Daphnia pulex: one gene and its partners. The protein of the gene in region 1 binds, or shares a complex with, the protein of each later gene. Links are inferred from orthologs where the notes say so. Each region holds a gene or a part of one and is shown in the gene's direction. Other genes may lie near its edges.

What was found.
Region 2: actin-related protein 2/3 complex subunit 3-like (region 1) and probable actin-related protein 2/3 complex subunit 2 share a complex: the UniProt entries of both Caenorhabditis elegans proteins name them as parts of the arp2/3 complex. The link is inferred for Daphnia pulex from reciprocal best matches to the Caenorhabditis elegans genes arx-5 and arx-4.
Region 3: actin-related protein 2/3 complex subunit 3-like (region 1) and actin-related protein 2/3 complex subunit 4 share a complex: the UniProt entries of both Caenorhabditis elegans proteins name them as parts of the arp2/3 complex. The link is inferred for Daphnia pulex from reciprocal best matches to the Caenorhabditis elegans genes arx-5 and arx-6.
Region 4: actin-related protein 2/3 complex subunit 3-like (region 1) and actin-related protein 3 share a complex: the UniProt entries of both Caenorhabditis elegans proteins name them as parts of the arp2/3 complex. The link is inferred for Daphnia pulex from reciprocal best matches to the Caenorhabditis elegans genes arx-5 and arx-1.

What each region holds. Positions count from the first base shown.
Region 1 is NC_060026.1:13,597,934-13,605,128, reverse strand, and holds actin-related protein 2/3 complex subunit 3-like, read left to right. Parts: upstream 1-2,925; 5' UTR 2,926-3,190; coding exon 3,191-3,196; intron 3,197-3,299; coding exon 3,300-3,669; intron 3,670-3,735; coding exon 3,736-3,893; 3' UTR 3,894-3,982; downstream 3,983-7,195. Other genes in the region: vacuolar protein sorting-associated protein 33A-like, read right to left, coding at 948-1,014, 1,077-1,203, 1,276-1,570, 1,638-1,742, 1,806-1,893, 1,955-2,064; endoplasmic reticulum resident protein 29-like, read right to left, coding at 4,207-4,599, 4,661-4,912, 5,080-5,193; cadherin-87A-like, read right to left, coding at 6,226-6,400, 6,468-6,592, 6,664-6,790, 6,856-7,040, 7,111-7,195. UniProt on the Caenorhabditis elegans protein: Functions as a component of the Arp2/3 complex which is involved in regulation of actin polymerization and together with an activating nucleation-promoting factor (NPF) mediates the formation of branched actin networks.
Region 2 is NC_060024.1:1,045,653-1,053,532, reverse strand, and holds probable actin-related protein 2/3 complex subunit 2, read left to right. Parts: upstream 1-3,307; 5' UTR 3,308-3,454; coding exon 3,455-3,528; intron 3,529-3,592; coding exon 3,593-3,686; intron 3,687-3,753; coding exon 3,754-3,853; intron 3,854-3,927; coding exon 3,928-4,062; intron 4,063-4,123; coding exon 4,124-4,396; intron 4,397-4,460; coding exon 4,461-4,690; 3' UTR 4,691-4,825; downstream 4,826-7,880. Other genes in the region: uncharacterized protein LOC124201224, read left to right, coding at 1,503-2,300, 2,372-2,497, 2,746-2,967; phenylalanine--tRNA ligase beta subunit-like, read right to left, coding at 4,826-4,977, 5,040-5,241, 5,309-5,683, 5,749-6,003, 6,072-6,251, 6,322-6,588, 6,652-6,721, 6,794-6,948 and 2 more. UniProt on the Caenorhabditis elegans protein: Functions as actin-binding component of the Arp2/3 complex which is involved in regulation of actin polymerization and together with an activating nucleation-promoting factor (NPF) mediates the formation of branched actin networks.
Region 3 is NC_060028.1:5,628,967-5,636,414, forward strand, and holds actin-related protein 2/3 complex subunit 4, read left to right. Parts: upstream 1-4,207; 5' UTR 4,208-4,379; coding exon 4,380-4,382; intron 4,383-4,567; coding exon 4,568-4,686; intron 4,687-4,746; coding exon 4,747-4,954; intron 4,955-5,084; coding exon 5,085-5,255; intron 5,256-5,318; coding exon 5,319-5,324; 3' UTR 5,325-5,510; downstream 5,511-7,448. Other genes in the region: uncharacterized protein LOC124209792, read left to right, coding at 2,201-2,946, 3,004-3,760; mitochondrial carnitine/acylcarnitine carrier protein-like, read right to left, coding at 5,588-5,669, 5,739-5,844, 5,947-6,126, 6,200-6,320, 6,385-6,424, 6,501-6,657, 6,749-6,860, 6,922-7,023. UniProt on the Caenorhabditis elegans protein: Functions as actin-binding component of the Arp2/3 complex which is involved in regulation of actin polymerization and together with an activating nucleation-promoting factor (NPF) mediates the formation of branched actin networks.
Region 4 is NC_060017.1:5,488,610-5,496,825, reverse strand, and holds actin-related protein 3, read left to right. Parts: upstream 1-3,205; 5' UTR 3,206-3,368; coding exon 3,369-3,412; intron 3,413-3,520; coding exon 3,521-3,707; intron 3,708-3,895; coding exon 3,896-4,210; intron 4,211-4,281; coding exon 4,282-4,599; intron 4,600-4,680; coding exon 4,681-4,899; intron 4,900-5,024; coding exon 5,025-5,108; intron 5,109-5,197; coding exon 5,198-5,293; 3' UTR 5,294-6,418; downstream 6,419-8,216. Other genes in the region: RING finger protein B-like, read right to left, coding at 14-181, 258-411, 485-633, 719-782, 883-981. UniProt on the Caenorhabditis elegans protein: Functions as ATP-binding component of the Arp2/3 complex which is involved in regulation of actin polymerization and together with an activating nucleation-promoting factor (NPF) mediates the formation of branched actin networks.

The sequences.
Region 1 (7,195 bases):
ACCCCCCACGGCTTGTGTGCCTGCGTACAATAGCGTGAAAACAAGAGAATCACAACAACTGGATCGGATTGTTACTACGCAGCAAATCGCCGGCATGCTTGTCAACACCCCCCTCCCACAAAGAAAACGACCCAGGAAAATTGTTGGTACACGAGGCAGGAAGATGCCCTCAAGGTCGGGAATGTTATGGTCCATCCATGCTGATTTTATGCAAATTTTAAGACATTGAAAGAGTCACATTCTCTCGAGGCGATATATGGGCAAAATACAAGACCCTTCCAGGTTCGCCCTCGGGTATTAACGGGCAAGATATCAGTTAAAAGCTTTTGCTTATATTTTCAAAACAATTAAAATGTAGGAATTTCGTAATTTGTGTTTATTGTAATTTCCTTGATTTTTTTTCTGTATCATTTACGAAATAAAATAATAAACAATGTAAATTCTTGAGTTAAACTCAGACAGTGGCCCAATTTCTCCATCACAAGGGCTGAGGTAAAAAGGCAACAGTTGAGGTTACAACATCGAGGCAACAGTTCAGGTTACAAGATCGTAGCCATATTTTAGGAAAAAAGTTTGAGGCAAGGCAACAATTCAGGGAAACAGATGGAGGCAACAATTCGAGAAAAAAGATGGAGGCAATTAGCTGCAGTCGATGTTTAAGGACGTCAAGTAATTAAGATCTTCAGACAATCAGTAAAAAAGGATTTGTTTACTGATTGTCTTTAAGCCACTCCCTCAGCTCCCTTTCATCAGGTATATCCGGGTTGATCTAAAGAGAATACACAAGAAAAAAAAATCCCGATGAAAAAAACTGCTTGAGAAATCTTATTGAGTTTAAACTTACCATGATTACCGAATCATCGAAGGAGTCTAGGAATATTTCTCCACTATCGCGTGCGAATGCAGAAACCTTAACACCTCCAAATGCAACAATGGCGTTATCCAGGCTACTGAGCTGAAATAGCTTTAGCTTTGTGACTGAGTGCAGTACCCACGGCTGAAAAGTTCTTGTCCCTGCGAAAATAAATAACTTTTAAAACTGTCGGAAGCAAAATTTGTCTGATTCAAAATTTCACCTCAAATCAGCGTAAAGCTCTTCGGCCGAGTTTAGAACAACAGATTTAACAGAGCTACCATCAGAGCGAGGTGACTGGCCCGCATGTGATGAGGCTTGAAAATTTTCTCCTGGAAACTTGACTGTATCTAAATAACAATGAAACCACAAAATGCAAGTAAAATAATTGTTTTACTCAGAAGCTAACAATACTTTCTTACTATGTTTTATTCCATAGAATTCGTCGATAAGACCCTCATAGGTCAACTGAGTGACAAAAGGAGTTATCAAATCTACAGTCCAATCAATGATCATGAGAGTGTCGAACAACGGAGACATGGGGGGATCACAGTCTACCCCAATATCACGTCGCATTCGAGTCATCAATTCGAATAAGTTACGGGCATGGCGCCCCTTACCCACAACGTTGGGGAAAATGCCATATAAACTTTGGAGGGACATTAACCCATGAGCCATTTGGTGTAAGGAGCTGATTTCATTGTCAACATATAAATCCTGAGAATAAATTTGAAGAAGTTGATGACAAGCAATCCCTTTCAAAGTTTGGCTCATAAATAAATACCTTGAAAACATTATCGAGTTCCATTGAAATGACATCACTATCTAGTGGGAAAAAATCAACAGGCAGTTCATCAATAGAAGTAAGAGTTCCATACACTCCTTTGTCCTAAATGAAGTAATAATTATGTCAACAATTTCTTCTTCGCTGATTTAAGTAACTTTAACCAACCTTGAGCCGCTGTTCACATACTGCACTTTGTCGGGAGACAAAAATTAACTGATATTCCTTACTAGCAGAATGTCCTTGGCTTTCTTCGCTGAAATGTAAATCAACTTATTGTTGACTATTTAAAGTTAAAATATGTAGATTATTCATACCTGTGCAAGTTATCGGCAATAAAATCTATCAGCTCAACTTCAGGTCTTGTGATGAACAGTATATTTTTAACAGATATGGAAGGCAAGCGCCCAGGTTTTAACTGGAACATTTTTACAACATCTAGTTCCTTAAGAAAACTGTATTCTGCCACCAAACCAATGGGGCCAGTGAGTTGTTCATCCCAAAATATTGCCTAGCAAAATTGATGAATTTACGTACATTTCTTAAATGGAATAGCACACATCAAAATACCTTTGTTCCACTGAACTTCTCTAAAAGAGAAACAATATCCTGTAACAATAACAAAACTGTTGACGAAATTTATTTTTACTGAACAAGACATCAACAGACTGTCAACAGACAACCTAATGGATTTTGTGGTTGTCCTAAGTCACAAAAAGCTAATGACTAAATCCGCATAAAAATTAATAAAATTTAGTATTACCAAATGAATCGAAACTTACCTAAGCGCTGAGATAAATTACTGTAAGTGTACACAAAAAGTTTGAAGAAAATCGATGCAGTAGTTTAGTTTTCTATAAATTTATTCTGATTCTGAATTAAAGGTTCTGGAAGCCTGGCCCAGAACAGCGTACCTCCCCCACACCCCCCCCCCCTCCACACACACACACCCGCATTTACTTTAATGCCTTCTGGTAGTACAAGTACTACCCTCAGGGATAACCGTACCAACAAAACAGGGATGACGTGTAAACATCAAATGTGCAAGTGATGAAGAGAATCTATTTTTAGTTTGTTCGACGATGGCAACAACAACACACAAAAAAATGGGCGCCTCTGAGCTAACCAGGACGACAGCCTGGCTAGAGTTGCAACAAATGAAAACGAGTGAGTCGTTGGTCGATAATAATACAGTGGCAAGACTCTATCTGAATAACCACAACCACAGACGGGCGTGTGATACGTGACTAGCAAGCCAAATCAATGCATTCAAGATAAAAAAACAGCTGCAAAAAAACTTACCTTTTTTGTGTAGCTCAATTCACGACCGAATGGCTGCATAACAATCGATAGACATTACAACATGATCGATACGTAATCGTATCGGCCTTTCGTCGGCCGATATCTAAGTCACTATAGTATCTTTGAGGAAGGGGCTGGGTTTCCTTTTCCACCACAACAATTTCTTGTTTTCAATATTGAGCAATATCAGCCGGCTCAGTGTTTTTTTTTCTTTTTGAGCTGTCAATTCGCACATATTTTTTTCCACAGAAATGCCGGTAAGTTTGTTTATCAGATGTCGTATTTTTCGGATTTTTGAAAAGTGCAGAATACGTTGGTTTGTGTTGTGCCTGACAATTGTGTTGTTTCTGATTTCAACAGGCTTATCATTCCCAGTTTTTGAACCCACCCCAAGTCGTTGGGAATATGGCCATTTTGCCGTTGAAAACCCAGTTCCGAGGGCCAGCTCCCAAAGAAATGGGGGAGTCAGATGTCCTGGATGAGGCATTGTACTACTTCAAGGCAAATGTCTTCTTCCGCACATATGAAGTCAAAAGCGAAGCAGACAGACTCCTGATCTACCTTACACTCTACATCACAGAGTGCCTAAAGAAGCTCCAAAAGTGTTCAAACAAGAATACAGCTCAGAACGAGATGTATACCTTGGCAATATCAAAGTTTGACATTCCTGGGGAACCTGGTTTCCCGCTCAACTCTGTATATGCTAAACCTACCAGCCAGCATGAAGCAGGTAGAGTAGCAGTTGTAAAAACATGCTTTTTCTCATCTGATAACATTTCTGTTGCTTTTTAAATAGATTTGTTGAGGCAGTATCTGACGCAAGCCAGGCAAGAGATGGGTTTAAGACTGGTAGATAAAGTTTTCTGCACAGAAGATGGAAAGCCTTCCAAATTTTGGCTCTGCTTTGCTAAAAAGAAGTTCATGGACAAGTCATTATCAGCTCCTGGGATGTAAGAAGTCATTGCGTTTATCCTTACGTTTATCTTTCCGTTAATTACGTGCAACATGGGTTGATCAAATAAATCTAATTTGTTCAAGTTTTATTTTTAGCATTAATATTATTGCCTGTACCAATAAGAAAAAAACACAACAACGTCTGGAACTATATGGCTGTATTGGCCCATCAAATAATAAAAAAATACAGTATTTGCGAAGAAAATGAGAATGCATCGCTTTGAATAGCTGGGTTTGGTCTTCGCACTATATGAATAAAGGGACCATATTCGGCATGTATCGAATGGCCGAGAAGAACAGTTTTTTATTAGATTCATAGTTCAGTGTTTGCAGCTGGACGTTTCGGCTGGAATGATTGGAGAATGTTGACTCGTCTCTCCATTTCGTCTTTCTTTTCTTTTGCCAATTTTCCTTTGCGCAGTGTGTCCACTCGAGATAATTCCGATTGAAGGAAATCGTTGCCTTTCTCCAGCATTTTGCGCATAACCTTGACGTATACTTCAGCTGATTTCCGTTCGCTGCCAAGTGAAACCTTGTCCCATTCATCCTCCGATTGGCGTAAGATTTCCTTCCGGTCGGAAGGGCTTGAAGCAGCTACAAACCGGTTTGCTAGTCCGTCAAATACTTCCAAACATCCCGGTAAGCCGATCCACAAACCACTCGTGGAACTTACGAATCGTTGCATCATATCGAGTTTGAATTCTCCCTGCACAGAAATCAGATCCATGTCATTGATGTACTTGCTTTAACAATTTTTTATTGGGTACCTGGTATCGGATTGGCTCAGCCTTTCCTTCTGTGAACAACAACATCACAGGGTACTCTTCTTTGACAATCTTGTATCGTTCAGCTATGTCTACATTTTCTTTATCTCCATAATCTTTTACTCCTACTTCTGCAACTAGGATGTCCGGATTGGAAGACAGGGTGGAAGACAATTTCCCGAATTGTTCATGTTTTTCACCGTAAGGATATGCAACATCAATCTTCACAATGGCAGCTTTGAATTTAGATACAACCTGGGTAATCAAAGCAATTTCAATAATAATATGTTAAATAATGCTTAATTTGTTGGCTGATTTAACATGTTGAATAACAATATCAAAGAAAAACCTGTTTAAAATTTAAAATCAATTTACACAAAGGCATTAAAATATAAAAGGTAAGCTTATAAATATTAACATGCCTTCTCAAAAGAGTAAGAGTCCAGTTGAACACAGCCTTGACAGTTATTAGATGATGCACTGGTAAAGGACAGACAGCTGATCAACAAAAATAGATAAAAAGGACTAGGAGACATAATGCACTTGATTGGAAGGAACGCTGGTAATAATACTGAATAATCAGTAATGCACTCTCGTCTGATATAACTGTACTGATACCGTGATAACTGATAAAACCGTATAACTCAAACGACTTAACAAAAGTCAATATTCTGGATTTTTCTTTTACACGTTTTCCAATTCGAAGATGACAGCTCACAATGTTGCCACGTTGGTGCACACGTCAACATAAAATGTTTACGTTGATTTGAACGCCACGACAGAACAGATTCGGCGGGAATTTAACGCTCAATTTATAGTAATTTATAGCCTTATAGGTAGGAAGGGAGGAATCATTTAAAAGTAATTTTATCTATAGATGATTACGTAATTTCACTTTTCAAATCTGAGCAGACAACTAATTCTAGAATAGGCTCCTAGTGTCACCTTATACCAATCCTATTACGAAGTTAAGAAGAAGAAACCTACAACAGGCATTAGCCAATCGTTACGTGGCGCTAAATTGATAGACGACTAATTAAGTAGTAAGCGTTGGATGGTTCCAATAAAATTGTTGTTGCGGATGTTGATAGTCTGCTCCATTCGTAACAAAATAAGCCACTTAAAGTTCATGATGCTGGAAAGATTGCGATGCCGAAAGATTAGCCTGTGCCAATTAATGACGACAGTTAAGTATGGCTAGACTAGAAGACAGCTTGTCTGAGTCAGATAGCGCTTAATAATTTAAACTCGAGAGAATATAACGTGATATGCATCCTCACATTTCTTGGTGCCCATCATCATGCGTCGGTAAACTAAGCTACTCTGTTATTTACATGGTCTAAAAAGTAGAAAATTGATCGTTCCAACCGTCTGGAATTGGAGTTTTTTGTGTGAGCTCTGGCTGTCACGAACGTAGAAAGCAAATAAGAATGACATCTAAATAACGTTTATGAGTTCAAAAGTTTAGATGGTAAAGTTAATCACAAACACAAGTCGTGTTTTAAGTAAATAACGACACGCGCGATTGCACTTGATAAAAGACCGTCCTTCTGTTCATTCTGTTCATATTACAGAACCGATCTGGCAAGGGACGAATGACCATCGTAATATATCTGGCTATCAGGGCTCAGATTCAATAACGAAGCGTGAGGTTGAGCAATCGATGAAGACCTCCTTGTTCCCGTTCCAGACGGCCCAGTTACCTGAATGCCAGGATTTAATTTCTTCATTCTCGATTCGTATCTAGATTGTTTTTCAAGGAGCTGGATTAAAAAAAAAATGCAAAAGAAAAACTTTTTTAAATTATTACCTGGTAAACAGACAGCATGTAGTCAGGGCTGCGATGAGTGCCATGGCACCAATCAGACAACCAATAACAAGCAACCAAATTTCGAGGTTGTTTATCTCGTACAAAGTTCCGCGGGGTACACAGCGCTTTAAATGAATAAGAGATTAATTTTATGATCTATTCAAACTAAACGAAAATTCAGTAAACAGACAAGTACCTCTAGATTAGCGACTGAAAATTTGTCGTAGACGCTACGAAGCCGTTGATTACGCTCCGCGTTAAGAAGTAATTCGGTATCTTTCAAGTCAAAAACATGGTCTTTGCCGACCAATTGAAAGCAGGAACTGTGCAGGCACAAATTATATTAGATAAAGAACTTTGCACACACAAAAAAAAATTTATCATGTACCTAGTACTGGAGAAGTCCAAGGCTCCGTCGCGGGAATAAAATTGAGATTCGTATAAATTTAATGTAAGTGGCAATTCGAGGCTTTGTTCAACTGATTGTCGGAAATCAGCCAAGATAGGTTTCACATCCGGAGGAGGTTTGGTAAAAACAAATTTCATCAGCTCAGAATCTCGTAAAATGTACACCTTTAAATAAAATCGGGAGAAATTAGTCATGTCAACTTTTGACTTTTGGTAATGGTAACAAGTCAACAACCTTCAACGTATTAAATGCTTTACGGTCCGAACGACTTTCTTCCCCAGTCCAGGCACAGACATGAAGTAAGAAATATCCGTCAACG
Region 2 (7,880 bases), on another chromosome or scaffold:
CCGTCAATGATCTTTCCTCAGGGCATGGTTACTACGAAAGTGCTGCCATCTGCCCACACAATCTCTAACTGAATGGCTTACTGCAGAAACGAAGAATTCACGTTTTAATGGCGGAAATGCAGATTAATGTAAAATGACACGCAAACCATGTTTCGTTTTGGTTAGATCTATTGTCACGACATATGTCGTGGCGCGACGGTCAAAACTGTCTATTGTCACGACATCTGTCGTGGCAATAAAGAGAAAATTGTCTATTGCCACGATACGCCTATACTTCCTCTCTGATCTCTCATATCGTGACAATAACACGAATTTTGTCTATTGCCACGACATGCGTTTTCGTACTAAGTTCCACAGAAGATGTTTAGGAAAACTACTAAATAGGGTAAAACTACATGTGCATAATTCCCGCATCAATTTTCTTGTCAATTATCCCGTGAAACTCAACCTTTGTTGTAATCTCCAAATAAAAAATTACCCTCTCGACGGAGAATCGAACGCCATGCTATCGCATGGTGGCATTCATCGCTGACCATTCGGCTACCACTGCTGAAATGTTATTGTAAAAAACTTGACATACATAACCTAACCTAACCTAACCTAACCTAACCTAACCTAACCTAACCTAACCTAACCTAACCTAACCTAACCTAACCTAACATGCGTGAATGTCGAATTTTAAAAAAATATATGTCGTGGCAATAGACAAATTTCGTGTTATTGCCACGATATGAGAGATCAGAGAGGAAGTATAGCCGTATCGTGGCGTGTCGTGGCAATAGACAATTTTCTCTTTATTGCCACGACAGATGTCGTGACAATAGACAGTTTTGACCGTCGCGCCACGACATCATGTCGTGGCAATAGATTTAACCTTTCGTTTTTAATTGTAAATCTTCTTATAACAAAGAAATTGAAAGTCTTGCGTTTTTCCATCCACCGAAGTTGTGTCTAAATTCCTGGCAGGAAATTATTAAAAAGCCAGGACTCACTTGCCAGTCCAGAATTTGCAGTATTCATTTTGAAGAGAACGACATACTTAAAGGGAGAGAAATTCAAGGCGTGTTTTACAGTTATCCGAAATGGAAATTAAAATCAGGTGCTCGGCCCAGTAAATTGCTAGGTATTCTCAAATTTTAATTATCCATGACAATGTTAAGTTATACTAATACTGCTAATTCTGTATGTTTCTAACAGGAAATGATGTCAGCGTACTCGAAAGACCTGCTGCAAAGAAGTATGTTCACAGTGATAGGTTTAAGTCACCATATCGAAATATAACAGCAAAGTCTAAAGCTGCTAATCCTAAGCTGCAGTTGGACAATCAATCATTTTTGTCGAATAACAACACCAATGTATTGATCCCATCACATGCAAAGAAGTCAACGTCAAATAGCATAGGTAAATTAAAAACTAAGTGTAATAAGATATTTTTTAAAAACATGACATGTTATGTTACAGCTATACACCAACTTGACGCTGAAAAAGGAAAAGTAAATGATATGGAAGCAGCTGAACCTGTGGCATTACCATGTGTAACAACAGAAGACATGTTCCAGGAACCTACTACTGAAACACTCCTACACATTCCACCTGAAAAAGAACTACAATCTGAATCTGAATCTCAATTGAGAGTAGAATTTGAACCAAATGATATGGAAGTGGATGAACTGATTGGAGCACCGGGTGAAATGACAGAAGAAATGTTACAAGAAAATTCAGAACAAACAGCACGGGAGACAGAAATGGAAGGATACCTTGACCCAGCTACATACACTGATGTTATTGCGAGAGTCAAACTACCTTCCTCTTCGTGGATGTGGCAAGAAGATAAGGTTAACAAAACCCTCGTGTGTTTCAGTCATTCATTTTCTCCAGATCGCAAAATTGTAATAAAAACAATCTCAGTTGTCTCCATGAATAAGGTGGAATTGTTCCTCAATGGAAAACAAATATTTCCCCGTAATGTTAAGACTAATTTCAATGTAATTGAAGATTTATCTAACATTATTGGTGCCGTGGAAGTAAGCAATGTGTGTGATGGAATTGTTGAACTATCACTAGCGAATGTTTGTGTGACGTCCCGATGTAGCGCTGTGAAAGACGGAAAAATCATACGATCTAACCGGTGCACAGGACTTACTGAAAACAATGTTTGTTTGAATTGCAAATTCCTTAAGAAATATCTGATGACTCGCAAGAAACAATTAGGTTGTAAGGCTGAGAGGACAGGAATTCAAAAGAAAAACCAACAGCAAAAGAGAAATTTAGCAATGAGAAGAATTCTCCAACAAGGAAAAGTAATTATTTTTTTGTTATTCATAAATTAACATACGATTACTATTAATATATTTTCTATTTGTAATTTTAGTTGGTCTCTGGAATTGTGTCAAATTTAGAAAAAGAAAAGCAGACTTTGACTATTACAAACCAAAAATTGATTAAGGAACAGAAAAAGAATAACTTTGACGAAAAACTAAAGTGCCTGAGTCCTACGGTAACAATGAAATACTAATTTAATTACCTCATGACTAGACTATATGTATGCTTCCCTATTTGACCAATGTTTTCCAATTATTTCGATAGAGATATCATTCCTTATTCCAACCCTCACATTTGTGAAATCCAACTTATTCGCAAGACTATTCAAAAATAATATTCCAGACGATTGACAATGACATTCCATACTTACTAAAGACCATATCATATATCAGTTTATTAATAGATTTTTCAAATCTCTATCAGGAACAGTTAATCGTGAAAACTATGATGGACAAAGCTAAAGCAAAACCGGGAAAAGATAACTGTAAGAAAGGAATGCGTTACGACCCTTTATTTTTGATGCATTGTCTTCAAATTCGACTTAAAAGCAGCAAGACATATAGACATTTGAAAGCAAATGGAATTTTACCACTTCCGAGTCTTGAAAGCATAAGGAAGTTATTAAGCTCCACTGACTGCCGTTAATACACATTACAAGTTATAAATTGAACCAATGAAATCTATTGTTATCATCTGAAATTAATCTTAATTAGAAAATCGTCAATCAATCTGTTTAACGGATGCGCAAAGTACGCATAGCTCTGATTTGTTTACGAGGGACTTAGAAAATTTCTGTGTTGTTTCAGTGTAAGCTTCCACCCTTCCAACACCAGGTCGCGGGGCTGTCGCAGTAACCAAAGATCACAAAAAAATCAGCTGCCTTATGGGACCTTATAACACAGACAGTGGGAACCATTATATCAACAACCATGGTCTTTGTCTATGACACCATGCTGGTGCTTGCGTACCGCACCTGCTTTGTTGAAATCTGGCAAACGGCAAGTCCACTCCCTTTTCTTTTGTGGTTGTCTTGTGAGTTGTGACAGATAACATTAACATTTCCTTGTGTGCTGACTATGTTGAAATTTGTTTAATTTTGTGATACAAGTCATCACATTCACATTTCGTCGCGATGATTCTTCTGGAAATAAATAACAAAATTGTTGAAGATACCCTTACAGTTAAAATAAAAAATTCGCTTGCCGGGTAAATAATTTATATACATTTGTTTTTGAATTGCTACGAAACATATTATTCCTAATTTGTATAGAAATAAACCGGATTCCGTAAATGTAGTCATTGCTGATTTCGATGGGGTTCTTTTTCATATTGCCAACCCTGATTCTGATAAATCCAAAGTTCGAGTAAGTTATTAGAAAGAAAACCTTATAAATGAAATGTTGCAGGATTAATTAATTGTTATTTTTATAGGTTAGCATTTCACTGAAATTCTATAAAGACCTTCAGGAACATGGTGCTGATGAGTTACTAAAAAGAGAATATGGGAACCTACTATGTCAAGCTGAAGATGGTATGTGTAATATCCTATTGGTGAAAAGGTTTTATTTATCTTCTTTGTTTATTTATCCTTTTTTTTTTTTGAAGGGTACAATATTTCCCTTGTTTTGGATTTGGATAACATACCTGGCAATTGGGAAGAAATAGTAAAAAAAATTGGACTGCTGAAAAGAAATTGCTTTGCATCTGTTTTTGAGAAGTATTTTGAATTTCAGGAAAAGGGTAAAAAAATAATGAGCAAAAGCAATACTCTGAAATTCTATAATTTTTCTTTTCTAATAAGGTGAAGAAGGGCACAAGAGAGCAGTTATCAATTATCGTGATGAAGAGACATTGTACATAGAAGCTAAGGCAGACAGAGTAACAGTAGTGTTCAGCACTGTATTCCGTGATGAGGATGATATTGTGTTAGGTAAAGTTTTCTTACAAGAACTTCGCGAAGGTCGCCGAGCTTCTCACACTGCCCCACAAGTTCTTTTTTCTCACCGAGAACCTCCTCTGGAACTTCAAAGTACAAATGCTAAAATTGGTGACAATATTGGATACATTACATTTGGTATGAAATCATTTCTATTTTTACACATGGATTTCTGTAAAATTTATGTCATAATTCTTTTTAGTCTTGTTTCCACGGCATACGAACAAAAACGTCCGCGAAAATACCATTAATTTGATTCATCTCTTCCGTGACTATTTGCACTACCACATCAAATGTAGCAAAGCCTACATTCATTCACGCATGAGAGCCAAAACTTCTGATTTTTTGAAAGTATTAAACCGAGCTCGACCTGAACCAAAAACGGTGGAAAAGAAAACGATCACCGGCCGTACTTTCATTCGTACTCCATGATGTTTAAATGCACATTTTCCCTGTTTACCTAATTAGGATTTCTTCATTGATTAAATTGTAACGCTTAGTTTCACATTTTTCAATAATACACTAGCTTCTCATTAATGACAGACCACATTTATTTCTTGTAACTGCTTACAAAAACGGTTCAATATTCAACTCCAAAGCTGAACATGGAAGATTTAAATCAAAGGATGTCACAACATCAGGATGTAAGACTCCGACGATTCCGACAACAGTGCCAGCAAAAATGATTTGGGCGCATCGTCCGGGGAAAAAAGTTGCATCTGTAAATTTTATAGCTTTAGAAGAAGGTAATCAAAATATTGATGCAGTATATGAAATGAACCTTCGCATGGTTTCAGGAAGTATCCCTTGCTGCCACTCTGATCCAGTGGAACTTCCAACAATTGCATTAAGCGATCTAGTAAACCATGAACTAATTCAAATCCAGGCGACTTATTGTAATAAACGGCGCACAGATTGCGGCAATTACGAGCTCCAACATCTCGCTGACTGTCTTTCACTACCACATCGGATACTTCAAATAGCTTGAAGAACAGAAACCATATGTTTTACAACTTTTATAACTTATCTTATTAAATAAATAGGTTTTACCTTCATGGGCAAAGGCATTTTCCTATTGGCAGCGATAGTTTTGAGCAAACCTGAAAGTAAGGTCGTGCGTGCTACTTGGAACTCCAAAGTTTTCGGATTGGAAACATGAACTGCAGGAACGGAGTTCAGAGGTTTCCTCAGCTTTTCGCTTATGTCTTCCTTCGAGCACAACGAAAATGTGAGAGCCTCTGTGAAACCGGCTTGAGCAAGCTGGTCTCTCAACTGATCTGACAGCTTATTTAGGGGAAACTGTGAAGCTATGGTGTTAGTTTTCGGTAGAGTTTTGGTTATGTTATTGTATCCAAAAGCAATCGCCACATCTTCATAGACATCACACGCATGAATGATATCATGACGAGTGGGGGGTATTTCAACCTGCCAGGGAATATTTTTACATGAATTTTCAAAATCCTATAATTTAACCATTACATTTTTTTTACCGAAATGGAACCAGTTCCTTCCACGGTGGCAGTTAAACACATTCGGGTGAGTAAATTTGCGATTTCGTCAGCTTTTTCGTTGATACCCACCATTGTATTGATCTTGTCAACACTGATTTTCTCATGTCGATTTTTTAAAATCGGATAGTTGTTGATTTTTCCTTCTGGAGTCTCTACTTCGCATATCTCCACAGTAAACTGATCCCCGCAGTACCTAGAAAACATACAGACCAAAGTGTCCAAAACGATGCTAGCCTAAAAGAAGACATTTAAACAATTAAAGAAGCAATTTAAAAAATTGCATTTTCATAAAGGCAATTTACCTTGGTTAGGTCTGTAGCAGTGCATTCAATGAAAACATTTTTCGTATCTAAGGTAATTTTTGAATGTTCACCATTGATAATAGGTGGCATAGAAAGAACTACTCCATTACTGTCCTTGATAACAGGATAGACTGAACTATCGCGTATAATTGGTAAATAGTGGCGAAGATGGCTATCAGTCTGAATTAGTAAAAAATGATTATCTTTAATTTTTAAAAGCATAAAATGACACAATTGATAGATAGATTACTGAATACAAGTCCATTAACTGAGAAGCAGTAAACTCTTTACTCTGGCTCAATGGCTTGAACTTAATTGAATCAGGTGGAAGTGCTTCATAGAAAAATGGACCATGGACTGTATCCAAATCATGAGTTCCAATTGCAACAAGACTACGTTTCCTGCACAAGTTTTGATGTAGTTTATCCTGAAGATCTATGAAGCTACTGAAAGTGTTTTGGTCAAAGTGGATGTTTCTAAGAACTGCTGCAACAGCATGTGGTCTTATTGATGCAGTCTGTAATAAAAAATAGTATTGAATTGAAATAATAATTATGACAAATTTCTTATGACGACTCACCGAAGGCTTGATAATTAATCTTTGAGGAACTGTCACTGGTGGAACAACTTTAAAAGCTGGAAATTGCTTTCTAATTGAAATAATAAAAAGTGGTATTTGTTGATTTAATGATAAGTTTGTTTTGTTTATGAATTTATCTTACTCTCCCAAAAATACTTGAAGACCTTGCACAAGACCTTCTAAACACAATAAGTCATATCTATTGGCAGGAATATCAATCTTGTAAATGATTTCTTCTGATGCACCAGCTGATCGTTCTGTTCCTTGTTCTTTCAAAATGATGAGTTTATCACTCGTCTGAAATAATAAAAATAGATACGAGTAACTTGCATAGGGAGAACACATTAAGTTTCATATCAAATACAATTCATATTGTTTTGTTTGTTGGTTTTTTAGGGGGGAGGGGTACTTACAACTTCATCAAGTTCGATGCCAAATTTGAAACAAAGTTCATCAAACTGTTCTTCCGCTAAATATAGAAATAACATTATATTAACTAAGTTAAATTGAAGTTTAACTGAAAGAACTTATAGCAAATACGTGATCTCAACTCACTGTAAGATCTTCCAAGGGCTTTGAACAGTAAATCTCTATTGATACTTATGGTAGGCATGGTGTTGTTCTGGAAAAGTTGCAGAAGATGATAAAGAAATTAACAGCAGGACTGCAATATCAGTGATCAAACTTGCCAATTGCCACCCAGTTGCCACCTGGTTTTTTGGACAAGCTGGAGGATGGAATCGAAAAACTTTGCAACTCTGGTTTCAATGAGCTGGCGACTGCCGAGTGCAGACTAGATTGCCGGATTGCCCGTCAGTGTTAAAACCCCCATCTGGTGACGGCTTTTGGTAGCCTTTTTGAATCCAAATGAAATGCTATGTACAGTATGGAGTAGTTGGACATCCTGCGTTGTGCATTTTCCGCAAATGCGAAAATCTCATTTGTGTCCAACTCGGTCTGTGTCGCCTACAGCGTCTTATGGGAAAACCAACTTCTCCTCGGTAAAAAAATTGTTTTCTTATCTATGACTCTGATTTTCCCCCTTTTCTTCCTAACAGTTAATACTTTATTCATTTCTCTATTACCTAATTTTTATTTCTATCCCCAATTCAATCTGGTTAATTTTTAATTAATTTTTGTTTGTGACTGGTTTTTTTGTTCGTCTCCTGTAGCAGACGTTTCTAGACGTTTCTAGACAGAATCGACCACGCTACGAACGAAATTCTTCT
Region 3 (7,448 bases), on another chromosome or scaffold:
GACGGCGGAAGTCAGCGTATCGAGAATTGATATCTTTCTTCTGTTGACATCGTAGTGTTAGGATTTTCGATGTTACTTGTGTCGATGCAGCTGCGTTAGTGAATCATGGTGTCGAGTGTCGACAAGGCTGCGTTGGAGGTGGCAGACTAGTAGAGATGCGCCACTTACTGTTTATTGCTTCTAGCGCCCTCCAGTGGTTAGATCTGGTAACTAAATCTTGATAGATTGAAGTAGTTCACCCGATCTTTACAGCTCTCATGCTGGATTCTTTATACGAGCCGTCACATGTGTCGGAAAAGGTAGGATGATTGCGGGATTGATCTTTGAGAATCATCGAAGAAATAGGAAAAGGGCTAATCTGGATTTCTGTATCCAGTAGCCTGAAGTCCCATCGTACAACTCGACGTCGTCGTCGTCGTCCAATTGGCGCCTGACTTCCATGGCGATGTGAAACTCAGTTCCGCAATGGGTCGTTAACGTGGAGGGACTCGAGAATGGTTTCGAGAGTCCGAAATCCGCAATCTGCTTTCGAAAATCCAGTCGTTTGCAACAAATCACACCCCACAAACCAATCAAACGGAAAAACGAGGAAAAAATTAAAAAAAAATAAGTTGAACATTTCCATGGCATGGTCGATTCGTCACCCTGAGAGAGATGGTTGGCGTTTTTACCTTTAATCTCGCAAACTCGTCCGAGTCCGAATCCTTTGTTCGCGAACCGTCTGCTTCTCGAACAAAGGATTGTACCTACGTCATCTGTCAAGCGTTATACAAATTTTCGTTCTGCTTTCGGCCGCAGTGGTGCGCATTGGCGTAACTGCGCACGACTTTTTGGCATGTCTACTACTTCTTGGTTGGAATAACATCTATATGCAGTGCTGCCACCATGCGTAGCCTTACTGAAGTGCTGTTTTGCTCCCAAACAGGGTTTATTATTAGCGATTTTTAGAAGGAAAGTAAGCGAATGGCAGCCAAGTAATAAGTGGCCAGCCAAAGTATAGTGGTGGATTCGCATGTGATTAGTTCGTAGGTCCAAATCAGTATAGTTCATATTCTGTCAAAAATGTTTCCTTATTTTTTTCTATATTTTTAAAGCGAAATAGATCCATGGAATACCCAGATTCTGTAAAATAATGCGAGTTTTGTCACATTTTTTTTTTATTTAAAATAAAATCTGAATTGGTTTCCTGTGGCAAGAAGTGTTCAAACATATTTCTGGTCCGCAAGGTGTCACCCGTGCATACAAGGGAGACTGGAGAGTGCTCGGGGACGAAGCCTTATGGACAATAGGGTTGGTGCATGAATAAGGGATTTGATTGAAAAAAAAATATCATCAGAATCAGTTTTTCACGTTGATTCTCATGGTATTTTTTTATATTTTTAAAATAATTTCTTCAGAGCGTAATCTGTGTTCAAAGTACAGTTAGGCTCCTCCCACTTCAAAACGGACCCCCCGCCATTTTTCCATCCAATGGGATGAAGTTTGCTCTTTTTCCCCCCTTTTCACCCTTTTTCGTGCTGCCTATACCCCCTCTTTTGCCCTTAGGGTCGAAAGGCGAAAGACGAAAAGGGTGAAAAGGGGGAAACTTCATCCCATTTTAAGGACCGCTCACCAAAAATGGCGTGGGGTCCGTTTTAAAATGGGGGGAGCTAATCTCAACTTTGAAGTGAGATTACGGGGGGATATTATTATTTTAAAAATATAAAAAAATACCATGAGAATCAGCGTGAAAAACTGATTCTAATGGTATTTTTTTCAAACGAATCCCTTATTCATGCACCAACCCTATTCCTTCAGTGCGACGCATTTTCATCAGCCATCACTCTGCTTTGGCTGATAGCAGAACAAAAATTTCTTACGCTTGTTGGAACGTCTACGGTAAGTCCCTCCATTTCTGCAGACGCATTTTGCCATTTTCCTTGTAGCATCTTGTAGTTTTAACGTACACTTTCCATCAAGCGTAACAAAAATTTTCGTTCTGAAGATATGAAGTGTAAAGATCCACATCAACAAAACTAGTACGACATTGTTATTAAATTTGAAGACTGAGAAAGTTATATTTTAATTTTTCTTGCTTTTGTTCGTAGAAAGTGCTGTTAATAAACGGTGAGAAAAACGCGTTTAAAAATGAGCATTTTAAATTTAGATTGCATATTTTCACGAATTAAAATATATCTTTGTATTTAGGACTTTTGGTAGTATGTTATCGAAATTAATCAGAGAAGAACCAACAAGTTTGATGTTAAATACCAAACTATGCCTCATTTCAATGACACATTCGAATACGTTTTTGTCTAGTACGGTATTCTTCAAAAATCAGCCAACTTGTCGGATCCATTTTCAGACTTCAGAAAGACCCGCGAGCCTTATTAAGATTTATCTGGAATGTATTTACCTGAATCGTTTCGGTCTGCGTGCTACAAGAGTTTCAGTAAATCAACCAGAGACGAACTTTGTTGGTTTTATGGAGAGTGTTGAATCATATTCGTCGGTTCAGCAATTTAGTTTGTTGATTCCTTTCAATCGCTTAGCTTCTAAATTGCGTGATATTTGTATCATTTTTGAAGTCCACGTAATTGGAGAGTCATCTTTTTGTTTACAGTTAACCGATTCACAATGGAAAAAACAGATTATTGAATCCATGAATGGGCCATTTACGGACCTCGTGTTAACGGTTAGAGGTCATAAGCTTCCAGTCCACAAATCAGTTTTGGCCGCTCGCTGCCCTGCTTTGACGGCAAAAATAAAAGATGCTGCAGTTGAACAACTTATTTTGGATGAAGATCCTGTTACTTTCCGAAGATTTCTTCATTTTCTCTACACTGGTCTACTAGATGACTGTGATTATTATCTCATAGATATGAAAACGTATGCAAAGAAATACTTCGTAGATGAAATGCTTCCTAAATTTACCGCAAATGGAACAATGGAAAAAATGGTCACGAAGTATTCTTATATTTAATTCATTTAAATTTCATAAACCATAAATTGATATATTTTTAGATGTGAAGCTGACGTGAACTCACAATTAACGAAAGGAGGTGTCGTAATGCAATATTCATGGACGTTGAAAAAGTTGCCAACTTTGAATCGCACAACTTTCTCTAATAAATCAAAGGACGGTATGTGGTTCGGCGTTGGTATTCAGTGTGTACGTATCATCCCATATACAAATTGTAGCGAGTTCGACCTATACTTTTTTACTGGTCGAAACAGTCGAGTGGTTGGTGTCTCATACTTCAACAGATGGGATCCCTGTTCACAGAAGAAACACAACATGGATCTTAATAAAAATCTGGTCTTCACAAGCAATTTCTCCGTTGCAAATGGATACAAATGTTACCAGTTCACGTTCTGTGTGACGATCGAACAAGCGGATAATGAGGAATATCGATACGAATTGCAGGACAGTCTTTGCCCAACTCAGCTTTGGCGTTCCGCTTTGGATGGCATGACCACCGATGTTCAGTTGCTCGTCTCTGGGCGTATCTTTCATGCCCATCGATGGATTTTGGCCGCCCGGAGCCCAGTTTTTGCCGCAATGTTTTCCCACGACATGCTCGAGGCGAATACTGGGTGTGTTGACATCAGCGACATTACACCAAGCATATTCGAACAAATTTTGTTCTTTATTTATAATGGCCGCATACTCGACTCTACCCCTAATTTACTTCTATTGGAGGCAGCTGATAAATACCAAATAGAAACGTTGGTTTTCATTTGTCGGGCTTCTTCATCTCCAATGGAAAAGGACAGTTGATATGGTGATATGTGCTGCATCAACAAATCAGTGCAACAAATTAGTGCAATCGTCAACAAATTAGTGCAATCGTTACTTTGATTCTATGTTTGTTAACCTATTATTTCTCAAAATAAAACAAATATACCGGCATCGACTGCACGTAGCGGATATCTATCTGCATATATCATTTCTAACGCTCCCTTAAAAAAACACACAAAACAAAAGTTTAGTTATAGACTTATCTTCAATTCTACCTATACAAGTAATATATAACAAACTAACAACAAGTCTTAGATCAAAGATATTTACGAAACCCCTAAGGACTAAAACTTGTTTATATTCGGCTTGATTTGTGATCTGTGATCTCACGGTAAATTTCTTGAATAAAGGAAATTGATTGATTGATTTTTTTGCTTTATTTAATACGGGCCCTCTACTGGCAGCAGATTGAACTGTTTCCATTCTTCGTCGGTTCCCATGTTATCTTAAAAAATTGCGGTTTTTGACAGATCCGGCCCACCCCACTGAAAAAAGCCAAAGAAAGCACTAAATTGAGTAGGGCCTAAATAGTGTCCGTGGAACATATTCTTGAACTATCTTAAGATTCTACGCTTTTCAGCTGTGCAAATTGCAAAAAATGGTTAGTTTGCTCTTAAACTTCTGTGTTGTGATTCAAACCCAGCTAATCCAAAAAGAACTTTGAAAATATTATGTTTTGAACTCATCAGACAAAAACACATTTCAAACACTTTACCACACCCTCTTCCTTTTATCATTCCTATCGTCTTATGTGTACACGTATAATTAATATTTTGTCATTTTTAGTCAGCAACTTTGAGGCCTTACTTGTCCGCAGTTAGAAGTACACTGGAAGCTGCAATGTGTTTGGAAAACTTTTCTTCCCAAGTTGTTGAAAGACACAATAAACCTGAAGTGGAAGTCAGGTAAGGTTAAATGAGTGAAAAAATTGAGTAAACATTAATAAATACTATTTTGAAACATAGAACAAGCAAGGAATTATTACTGAATCCAGTTGTTATTTCAAGAAATGAGAAAGAAAAAGTCTTGATAGAAGCCTCTATTAATTCTGTTCGGATTAGCATTTCTATCAAACAGGCTGATGAAATTGAAAAAATTCTTTGCCACAAATTTATGAGGTTCATGATGATGCGAGCAGAAAATTTTGTTGTTTTGAGACGAAAGCCTGTTGAGGTAAACTCTTTTTAACATATTCTAAAATATGTTGTTAAACTCTTTTTAAAATATTCTAAAATATGTTGTTAAGGTAAACTCTTTTTAAAATATTCTAAAATATGTTGTTATACATTGATAATTTCTCTAGGGTTATGACATAAGTTTCTTGATAACTAATTTTCATACTGAAGCCATGTACAAACATAAATTAGTGGATTTTGTCATCCACTTCATGGAAGAGATAGACAAAGAAATTAGCGAAATGAAATTGGCCGTCAACGCACGAGCCCGTGTGTGCGCTGAGGAGTTTTTAAAGCGGGTGTGTTTTACTGTCAATTTTTTCATCAGTTATTACCGACTAACATTTCCCATTTTTTAATAGTTTTAATTCGAGAATTTATTGGATAACTGGAAGAAAATTGAGACCAGATAATTCCCAAGTTTATTTGCATAAAAACCTGTTTCCAAGCCAAGCTAATTCAGTAAAATGATCCGACTTGTGTACAATCAGATAACTCCTAGTTTGAGTTCATGCACAAGCTCAAAAAATAATAAATGAAAATATTACAGAAAACTATATTGTATTTAGTCAAACTGGAGTGTGCATATTTCTTGATAATATCTACTTGGAACAATATCAGTGCTCCGCAATTAGATAGAAGGAGCTAACCAGTTCAAAAACTTCAAAGCCATTTCAAATCCTAAGAAGCAAACGGCATTTGCAGGGAAGGCTCTTTAAAGAAAAATGGACGTTAAAAAATGTTATCAAAAATTCTTATTTAATTAAATATGTCCCTATTACCTAAGAAACACTGGAACTGCTCCTCTATAGAGAGCTCGAACACCTTCTTCGCGCATCAACACTTTAAAGACGTCACGCACTCCATTAGGATACGTTCCTTCGGGAGCTTCAAGTGGGAAAATAATCGAAGATATAAAGTTATCATATTACCTTTCACTTAACTCATTTATTTAATAGCCTAATATCTGATTCTATTAAAAAATATTACCTGTTTGTAGTCTACTCTTCAGTACATCCGGTGGGATGGCAATAATCCAGTTGGCGATTCCTGCCATTCCACCGGCAAACATTGTCCGAATTGGGCTTAATTTCCCGTCGGAGTTTTCTGGTGCAAGTGCAACCTGGAGCCATTCATAGGTCATAAAATAGATCCCGCTGGCTGGAACATCTACCAAATCGAAAGAGAGTTCATCTGTAGTTGCAGAAATTTTCTTCTTGAACTATAGTTGAGTCAACCTTACCTCTGAGCAGTGTAGCTCCTGTTCCCCGATAGATACTCCGTATACCTCCTTGTTTATATAACTGCCGAATACAGTCAATTGGTCCTGCATACTTTGCAGGGCCAGTACTGGCTTGTTGAACCTACAAGCATTGGGTGAGAATTGATATAGTCTTCCTTAATTTTCACCACTTGCAAATCTACTACCTGAAGAAGACATTTAATTCTCTCACCAGGAGCCATGATGCTTTAAGATTGGAAAAAATAATGATTATTGATAGACAATGCTGTTAAAGGTTAAGTATAGTATTCGGTATTCCTACATTGTTGTGCCAATTGCAGAAAATGCTCCTGCATTAAAAAGCTGGAGTAATGATAGCCTTTCATTGGGATGGCTTTGTTGAAGCTTTTTTCCAATTCCAAAGCCTAGAAAACTTATGGCAAAAATAGGTGCAACTCCAGTAATTGGGGCAGCCATACCTTGATGAATAAGAATTTCAGATGATAGTTCAAATTGTCTAATATAATTACACACACTGGAAAAGACCCCAATATATCAAAATATATTCACCTTTATAGAGACCTCGAAATCCTTCATGCTTGATTGTTTTTGTCAAGCAGTCCCATGTTCCACTATACAGAGGAGCCTGTCCAGGTATGATAGGCATTGTTTGAAGTCGAACCTAAAGCAAAATGTTTTTAAAATCAATAAATATCAAGAAGAAGAACGTTCACATCATATACCTTTAAAGTATCAAACGGGTGGCCAACAAATATGGTACAAATACCGCCAAAACCACCGGCAAAAAAATTTTTGATTGGGCTGACTTTATTCACTTCGCCCATTTTATATTTTTTTCTAGTACTAGAACCTCTTGCAATTATTTAGACAAGAAAGAAATAACAAAGTGAAAAAACAGGGATGTGACTTTTAGTGATTGTAATTGTAAATAACTAGTGAAAGAGGAACTGGTTCTTCCAGTCTTTACAGCGCTTCACAGATAGAAACAAGCATGCTTGTAAGTTGTAGCAGCCGAAGCCCGAAAGAGCTGATATCCTATTGCCCCTTTAGGCAAAGTCAGATAACAACATTTCATTGGCCACTACGTTGATCGATACAAAATCTGCAAATTATCACTCGTTTAGACAAATTTAGATTTCATACCATCAATTAAAGTTAACTACTTCATCAAATAAATTTTCTTTCGCAATCGCGAAAAAAAAAATAATAATCGCATTTTACTGAGCAGCACTGAAGGCAATACAATCGT
Region 4 (8,216 bases), on another chromosome or scaffold:
AAATACGCAATACCTAGGTCTAATCTCCAGAAATCTGATCTCTCCGCCAAATCCGTCATTCCTCCATAGACCCACATTTCTTGGTCAAACACAACCGCAGTATGACTGTGTCTAGGTGGTGGAACAACATCGGAGGATTTTTTCGCTTTACCACCATGGATCATTTTCCACGAATGAGACTCTATTATACAAATAGTTTGGAAACAATGTCGATATTGAAAGGGGAAAGAAATGTTGAACAAGAAATTGTTCCTTACTAAAAGAGAATTCCCATAGTTCTCCGAGCGATCCTCTCATGTCTTGATATCCTCCATAAACGTACATGCGATCCTCGTAGACAACCGCCGTGTGACCTTTCCTTGAAATCGGAGCACAGTTCTTTTTAGATTGCCATTTGCTCCAAGTATTATCCTGAAATGGTAAAATAAATAAGAGTCTTATAAAGTGTTCCCATGCTATATTGAAATCATAAACTGAGCTATACCGAAATGGTGTACGTCCACAGTGGGCATTCGTCAGCTGGCGCAAATATCCCGCCAAATACGTAGACGCAGTCGTTCCAGTAGACCATCGAATGCTCTTGAACATTCAAAGGCGTCCCTTTGCTACCCAGCGACGTCCATATACCGGTATCTGTCGACGACATTCCATCAAAACATTCAAATTTATGGTAATCGCGGGAGAGAAAATGTTATTTGAGCAGAGACAATGCTCTTACCGAGATCCATCACCCAGAAATCTTTGAGGGGGATATTGGAAGAGCGTCCGCCGAGTAAATAAACCTGATCGAAAATACAAGTGAGAAAAAAGGAAAATAAATAAAAAAAGATTTGACGGGGGAATCGATGAAACTTGGTCAAGAAATGTCTCTTTTATATATACCACTCGTCTCTGGGGATCAACACAGCTTGCGTGTTTGAAGCGTGTCCGAGGTACGGGACCCGTTTCGTTTTTCGTCGAATGCACTACCGGGCTCCACATTTTTGTTATCCTCCTTTTTTTCGAAAAGCTGCTCGTTATAGCTATTTGAAACTAGAAATAGAACGATATGACTGACTATAGCATTTTACAGTTTAACATTCAGTTGTCAATCATCCCAACATACCTGACAGAATCGCTGATGATTAAGAGACAGACGCGAGCGACGTTCAAGCGGTTGAAGCTTGTTATGAAAACTGAAGAAGCAGCTTTCTGGTTGTCTCCTTTCCTGTGTGCTACTATTGAAAGCGTCGTGGGACTATGATGCGCGCGCAGAGGCTTTTCCCCCCTTCCAACACGGCCCCTAGCCCCACGGCTCGTCGTCCCCGATTCCCTCCATCATCCATTTTTGGTTTTTCTTTCTCCGTGTGCTGCTTCCAGGAGTTACGTTGGCTTGGACTAACGTGAGCACGCGCGCCAAAGTCTCAGCTAAGTATTGATCGGATTGATGAGACTAGACGTTGCATATTCAAACGTCAAGTGATGACTATCTCATGCTCGGACCGGAATAGGATCTTGCTATTCGATTACGAGCAATTCAATCAGACCCGAAATTTACTTACTGAGAATTTTCTGAAAGGGCCTCCGGCCATGGAAGAAGCTACGCATATAGTTATGCAAGTGAATGTTGTGATGTTTTTCAATAATCAACTCTATTTATAAAGAGATTTATATAGTATACAGGTATCAGTGTAGTACGTAAAAATAGAGCACCGACGACGAGTCCATAAAAGTGCTAAAAGTCTGTAAAGAAAAATTGGCGATCGTTACATTTGATCCTACAGGAAGCAAACCGTTTTCAATATACCCGTGTTCTTATAAGCTACTATTTTTGTAGCGCGTTGCCCAGCGATATTTATTACGTGATATTGACGGGCCCTGAATGAGGATTTCTATTTCCTGTCGTTGGCAGAAGAGAACGTTATTAGCTCTCTTTGGTGTAGCTAAGCTGAGTGAACTAAAACTCGATCCCAGTCGAGTATAAAGTTGACTTTTAAAAGAAAAATCGTCACGTCGTTGCTGTGTGGTTCCTTCCGCCGCTTTTGCTTCATGGAGTTTTTAAAAAGAAACTACTTGAGAGAGATATATGCGGTGTAGGGCGAATGGACAAAGGGAAAGTTTCAAGTATTCTTGTACAACTTCATTAGAATCGGGAAATGTCAGTATAGCTTATGGGATTAAATATGCCAACTTGCTGAAATTTGTCGTCACTTTGGCTGGTAATTTTAACGTACTTAACAGTTTGCAAGATTATGTCACCCCCCAAAAAAGCAATTGCTGTGTGTGAGTAATATGCTGATAGAGCGATAGATACGAAAGTGAGGGCTAAAATTCAAAAGCCATTAGGATGCGGTGTGACGCAGAGTCAACATTTTCCTTTAAGATAAAGAAATGAGAATATTAGCGATATAAGTTTTTCTTTTTAGTGTCAATATTCTCATAGAACATGACTGTCTCAAATTTAGTTGGAATGCCGTGTCATGCAGGAAAAGATGAGAATGTTCATTGTACAAACACAATGGCCGTACTGAAATGAAATGCTCCCCTGTAGATTTACCGTCTCGGTTTAAATAGCCTGTGGCGAGTTTTGCGCGTGTATAGAATGGTGAGTTTGACTTGCAGACCGAATCAGAATCCCCAGTTACTCGTTTACTGAACCGTTGGTTGCCACGAAAGCCCCATCCAATAAAATCTAATTGGTTTCAAGGGCAGGAAGCAAAAGATGGTAGGAAAGAAAATGAAAAGGAAACAACCCTTTTTTTTTTTAAATTGAAAATTCAAACTTGATTGCTAGACCAAAGATGAAAGAGCAGGGGTATCTGGTATCTTCGACTCGTGAGGATAGGGTCCGGATTTCCGGATAAATTTTTTTCTGTTTCTCATCAAGACCATAAATTTTTTTTATTGTTCCTTAAAATATCTTTTTTTTATGACGAAAACTTCTTTTTACGTCACATATGGTTGCCTTCTGATTTCACAAAAGTTCAATCAGATTCATTCAAATCACGCTAGATGTCTTCAAAATCTGGCGCAATTCAATTTTACCAATCGTTATGGGATGTTTTACTTCTTTAACGTCCACCGTTTATTAACCATTGGAATAACTGAACTATGGCCTTATCTCCGCATATGATAAATAAGATAACCTTACCATGTTTGTCTCATTAAAAAAAAAGAAAAAAAATCCTTATCAGATTGTCAGAGGAAGTTCTGTTGCCACCTGGTGGCCGTAGTCTGAAACTGCCAGGGGTGGGGATTGAACACTCATCGCTCTAGACGCTGCCGGTGTTTCGAATTAAGCTAATTTCGTTTACAATTTCTGTGTCTAATCACAATAAGGATTAAATCAGAGAAATAGTGTTAAAGGTTTTAAACAATAATTGTGTGAAATGACCGGAAGATTACCGGCTTGTGTGATTGACATCGGAACAGGGTAAGGATATGCTTTGGTCTGGTCTGTCTGACAGACTGCAATCTCATCTCAGTGTGCCTATTCTGGAAAGGTTGTTAACACTTCTAATAAATTTTTGTTTTTTTTTAGTTATTCCAAGCTTGGTTATGCTGGCAATAAAGAGCCTCAATACATTATACCTTCAGCCATTGCCATTAAAGAAACAGCAAAGGTTGGTGACCAAGCTTCGAGAAGGTTAGGAAAGGGAATCGAAGATCTTGACTTCTTTATTGGTGACGAAGCCCTCGAAGCAGGAAATGGGGGATATTCAGTCAAAGTATGACTTTTTTTCATTCATAACTTAAATTATCTTATTTTTAAGTAAGTTTTAATGCAAATGACAGTTTGTTTACATGATTGGTAACAAACACCTTACTTATGAGATTTGTCAATTCAGCTATTTTTCAAGTGGAAATAGTTATTATTGAAAACAGATCATTCATTTTGGTTTAATTACCATTGCAGTATCCTGTACGTCATGGGATTGTTGAAGATTGGGACCTTATGGAGCGGTTCTTAGAACAGAGCATATTCAAATATCTGCGAGCAGAACCAGAAGACCACCATTTCTTGCTAACAGAACCCCCTTTAAACACCCCGGAAAACAGGGAGTACACAGCAGAGATCATGTTTGAATCTTTCAACGTTCCCGGTCTGTACATAGCTGTTCAAGCAGTCCTTGCTCTGGCTGCCTCTTGGACCTCAAGGCAGTTGGGTGAAAGAACCTTGACTGGTATTGTGATTGATAGTGGTGATGGTGTTACCCATGTGATCCCAGTGGTAACTGATATTATTATAAATAATTTGCTTTTCATTTGGGCGCTTTCTAATTGTTGTCTTGATTTTTGTAGGCTGAAGGATATGTTATTGGAAGTTGCATAAAGCACATCCCAATTGCAGGTCGCAACATAACCTATTTCATTCAATCCCTTCTCCGTGAAAGAGAAATTGGCATTCCACCTGAGCAATCGCTCGAGACAGCCAAGGCTGTTAAAGAGCGCTACTGTTACATTTGTCCTGATATTGCAAAAGAATTTGCCAAGTACGATGCTGAGCCCAATAAATGGATGCAGAAATTCGAAGGCCTCAATTCCATCACCAAGCAGCCGTTTGGCGTTGATGTTGGCTATGAGCGTTTCTTAGGACCCGAGATTTTCTTTCACCCAGAGGTAGATTTTATTCATTTTCGTCTGCATTTTGCATTGGCTATTGTAGACCGAATCATGTTTTCATTCATTTTGATATTGCAGTTTGCCAACCCCGATTTCACGACCCCTATATCAGAAGTTGTTGACACAGTCATTCAAAACTGCCCTATTGATGTGAGGAGGCCATTGTACAAGAACATCGTATTGTCGGGTGGATCGACCATGTTTAAGGATTTTGGTCGGCGGTTGCAACGAGATATCAAGCGTGTTAGCGACGCTCGGCTCAAAATCAGTGAACAGCTGAGTGGAGGCAAACTGACGGTGAGTTTCCACTTGTATTTAAGAGTTGTGGTCGAATGGGTTGGCTGAACGGGATACGCGACGGTTCCCACATCCAGGAACTGGCGTAATAGTTGTAATTGAATATTTTTGTTCTTGGTTTACAGCCGAAACCTATTGACGTTCAAGTGGTATCGCACCACATGCAACGCTATGCGGTATGGTTCGGTGGAAGTCTACTTGCTTCAACGGTATGTGATAGCGATAAATTACGTAAGAAAGGAAATTAACTGACTTATCTTTTTTTTTTTTTTTTTGGCTTTCTCTCCCCGGTTTGCAGCCTGAATTTTATCAAGTGTGTCACACTAAAGCTGCGTATGAGGAGTACGGGCCGAGCATTTGTAGGCACAATCCAGTGTTTGGTACTATGACATAATTACCTGTAGAACAAAAACAAAAATCAAGGTACAGCGCGCAAAAAGGAAGCGCCATAAGGCATCGATCAGATCGAGGTTTCCTCTGTAATAATTCAACAATGTGTAAGGAGGGCCGTATCAAATGTAATTATCATTTTCACAGAGAGGAAAGTGAACAAGTTCTTTTCCGTTTATTTTTCTCCGTTTATCCTTCCTCATTTGACCCTCAATTTTTTTTTCCTACTAGCATTTGTTTTTGAATCCAGTCCGCTGTTTTTCCTGACACCATGCCTACCCCGTTTCCTCCCTCTCCCAAGTTGACTTGTCTCCCCCCCCCCCCTTTTACTCGAGAGAAATGATGGTGCTTGTTTGTTTTCCTCTTCCTTCTGGTCTTACTTTTCCTTTTTTTTTTTCCTTTTTCTACATACTTTCCAATTTTAAGTTCATGGGTGATTTAGGGTGAGCAACTTGAGTTGATTGGTAGAACCGGATTTGTTCAAGTGCCTGTTGTTTGTTGGCTTTTCTACCATTTTCCGTCTCTACTAAAAAAGAAAAGAAAGATGTTTTTCTTTCTTTGCGCCGTCGTGGTGTCTATTTGCCGAAATAATCAACTGGGTTCATTATCATCCTTAATTTTATTAAGTGATTCAGCATATACCGAATAATTGGATGACAGTCATTCCTTGTCTATTTGTCGTCGAGGCCAAGTGTGTGGTTGGGTGGAAGCGTTCGCTGTTGCAAATGAAGAAATCAATTCGATGCAAATGCAATCAAGTCGTTGAGAGCTAAATAGTAGTCTTCAATAGCCCCTTAAAGGTGATATTGGGGCGTAATGCAAAGTAACCTGTCCGATATGAATGACCCTAACGTATTTGATGTTCATACACGAAACCCTGCTATCCCTGATCACTCTATAACCACTTAATAACACACTACAGTCGTTATTTGTTGCATCAAAGACGCAATCAAACAGCTTTCCGTTCGCTCATCCGCAATCAGTCCGCCGTTCACCACCCCTTTTCTTCCAGTTCTATCGCTCCCTCCCCCTCTCTCATTATTTGAAATTGTTACATGAAGAAGAAAAAAAAAATTGAATTCTTGTCACTGGCATGTCATGGATTTAGATAATACATTACCCGAATACATTCTGTTTGGCTATATGTATATATATTTCGGTTGCGTGAATGTCTCTATAGACCACATATCGATGCACACATACTTCCTCCGCCATTATTATGTAAAAATCTTTTTTTAGTTTTATCGAGAAACGAAAATGTTGAGCATCGCGTGTGAGTCGTTGGGATTTGACGTCATAGAAGCTCGGCAGCTTTGTATGCTGATGGCATTGATTGCCGAAGGTGGTTTTTCTACACATGTGAAATTGTCTTTCGTGGAATGTTTTGGCTAAAGGGACGAGTTTTTCGACGGTTGGAATTCCAAACCAGATGACGTGATACCAGATCGTTATCTTTCCCTTTTCCCCCCTTATACTGCCTCCTCCAAAGGACAATTTGTTATTCGAAAAATACCAAATAACTGCCGAATGCCGATCCATTGCTGGTGTTAAGCAGTTTTGCATTCATAATGAGCTCGGAAAAGAAACGTTTCTTTTTTTTTTTTTTAAATCGAATGAGAGAATAATAAACTGTCGATTTCCTGTTTTTCCTGTTTAGTTGATAGGGAGACCGGCAGTCATTATACTGTACCGGGCAGGATTTCCGATGAAAACAAACTTTTTTTTTAAAACATTTATTTTTACCTACTATGCTGGAATGGAAACTTCCTCCCACGAATGTGTTTCTTTTCCCCTTTTGCCGAACCTTCCGATCCGTGATCTCATCCTGCGCTGGCTGCTGGCGACTAGAATTTCATCCACCCACAACAAACAAACATTGAGAAAGAGCGAGGCATATGCGCTAGAGGTTTTCTGTATATACTTTCCTTCTCGGTTACGTGTTTTAATTAACCATTTAAGGTATTTGCATTTCCCGGGGACGTTATAAACTGTTGGCGGGGGTTCAATGATGCAAAGGTTCAATGGATGGGGAAATTGACGCATGAATCACCCCTTATTTGCATGTCTACTGCGCTGTCGTCATTGTGCGGGGGAAATCACAACTGAATAATAAATAATCTGAAAATTGGAAAACACTTTGGAAACATGATTATTGGCCATTTTCATCCACCGCAAATAAATAAAAGAATACTTTTTCTTCTTCTATTTGAAATTTGACGAGTGTGTGCGTCTGTAATGTGTAAACCTGGTTATAAAAAGAAGAGAGAGAGAGAGGAAAAAAGTTAACAAGCCAGCGCTGTTGGATATTATAGGCGGCGCATTTCAAATTTTCAATGCGTCTAAGCACACAGCCACTTTGGTTCCCCTATAAATCCTCCTTACCACTTGAGAGTTTTTCTTTCTCTTTTTTTGTTAACGTCCTTCTGTATAAATATTGATGTCGGTATATACAGTCGATGAACATATAAAATGTGTATAAAGTCTAAGGATATAAGACTGTAAAGATCTGTGCGAACGCCTAGTATGTGTCCTTATGCATGGTGAGAACTTTTAGCTCGAGGTCTCAGTCTCGACGGCAATATTCCAGCAGAGTTCTCACAGCGATCGATTATCACGGAACACTTGGCTGCTTATAAGCACAGCAGACAGAGGGAAAGGAAACTCTCGAGTAAACCTCGTTTTATTTCTGTTTTTATTTCTATTTTTTCAGGGCCTTTTTCCCTTTTTATTTATTTATTTTGTTTTATTTAAAATTTTTTGTTTCACTCCCGTTTCGTCCGGCGCTGTAAAATAATAAAGAATCAATAAGACATTACTCCTAATTTATATATCCTTTTGGGGGTTGGTGTGTGTATTTTCTTATATGTGGAAGACGAAACGGCCAACACATTTTTTTTTTAAACTTTCGGGACTTAACTGTATAAATA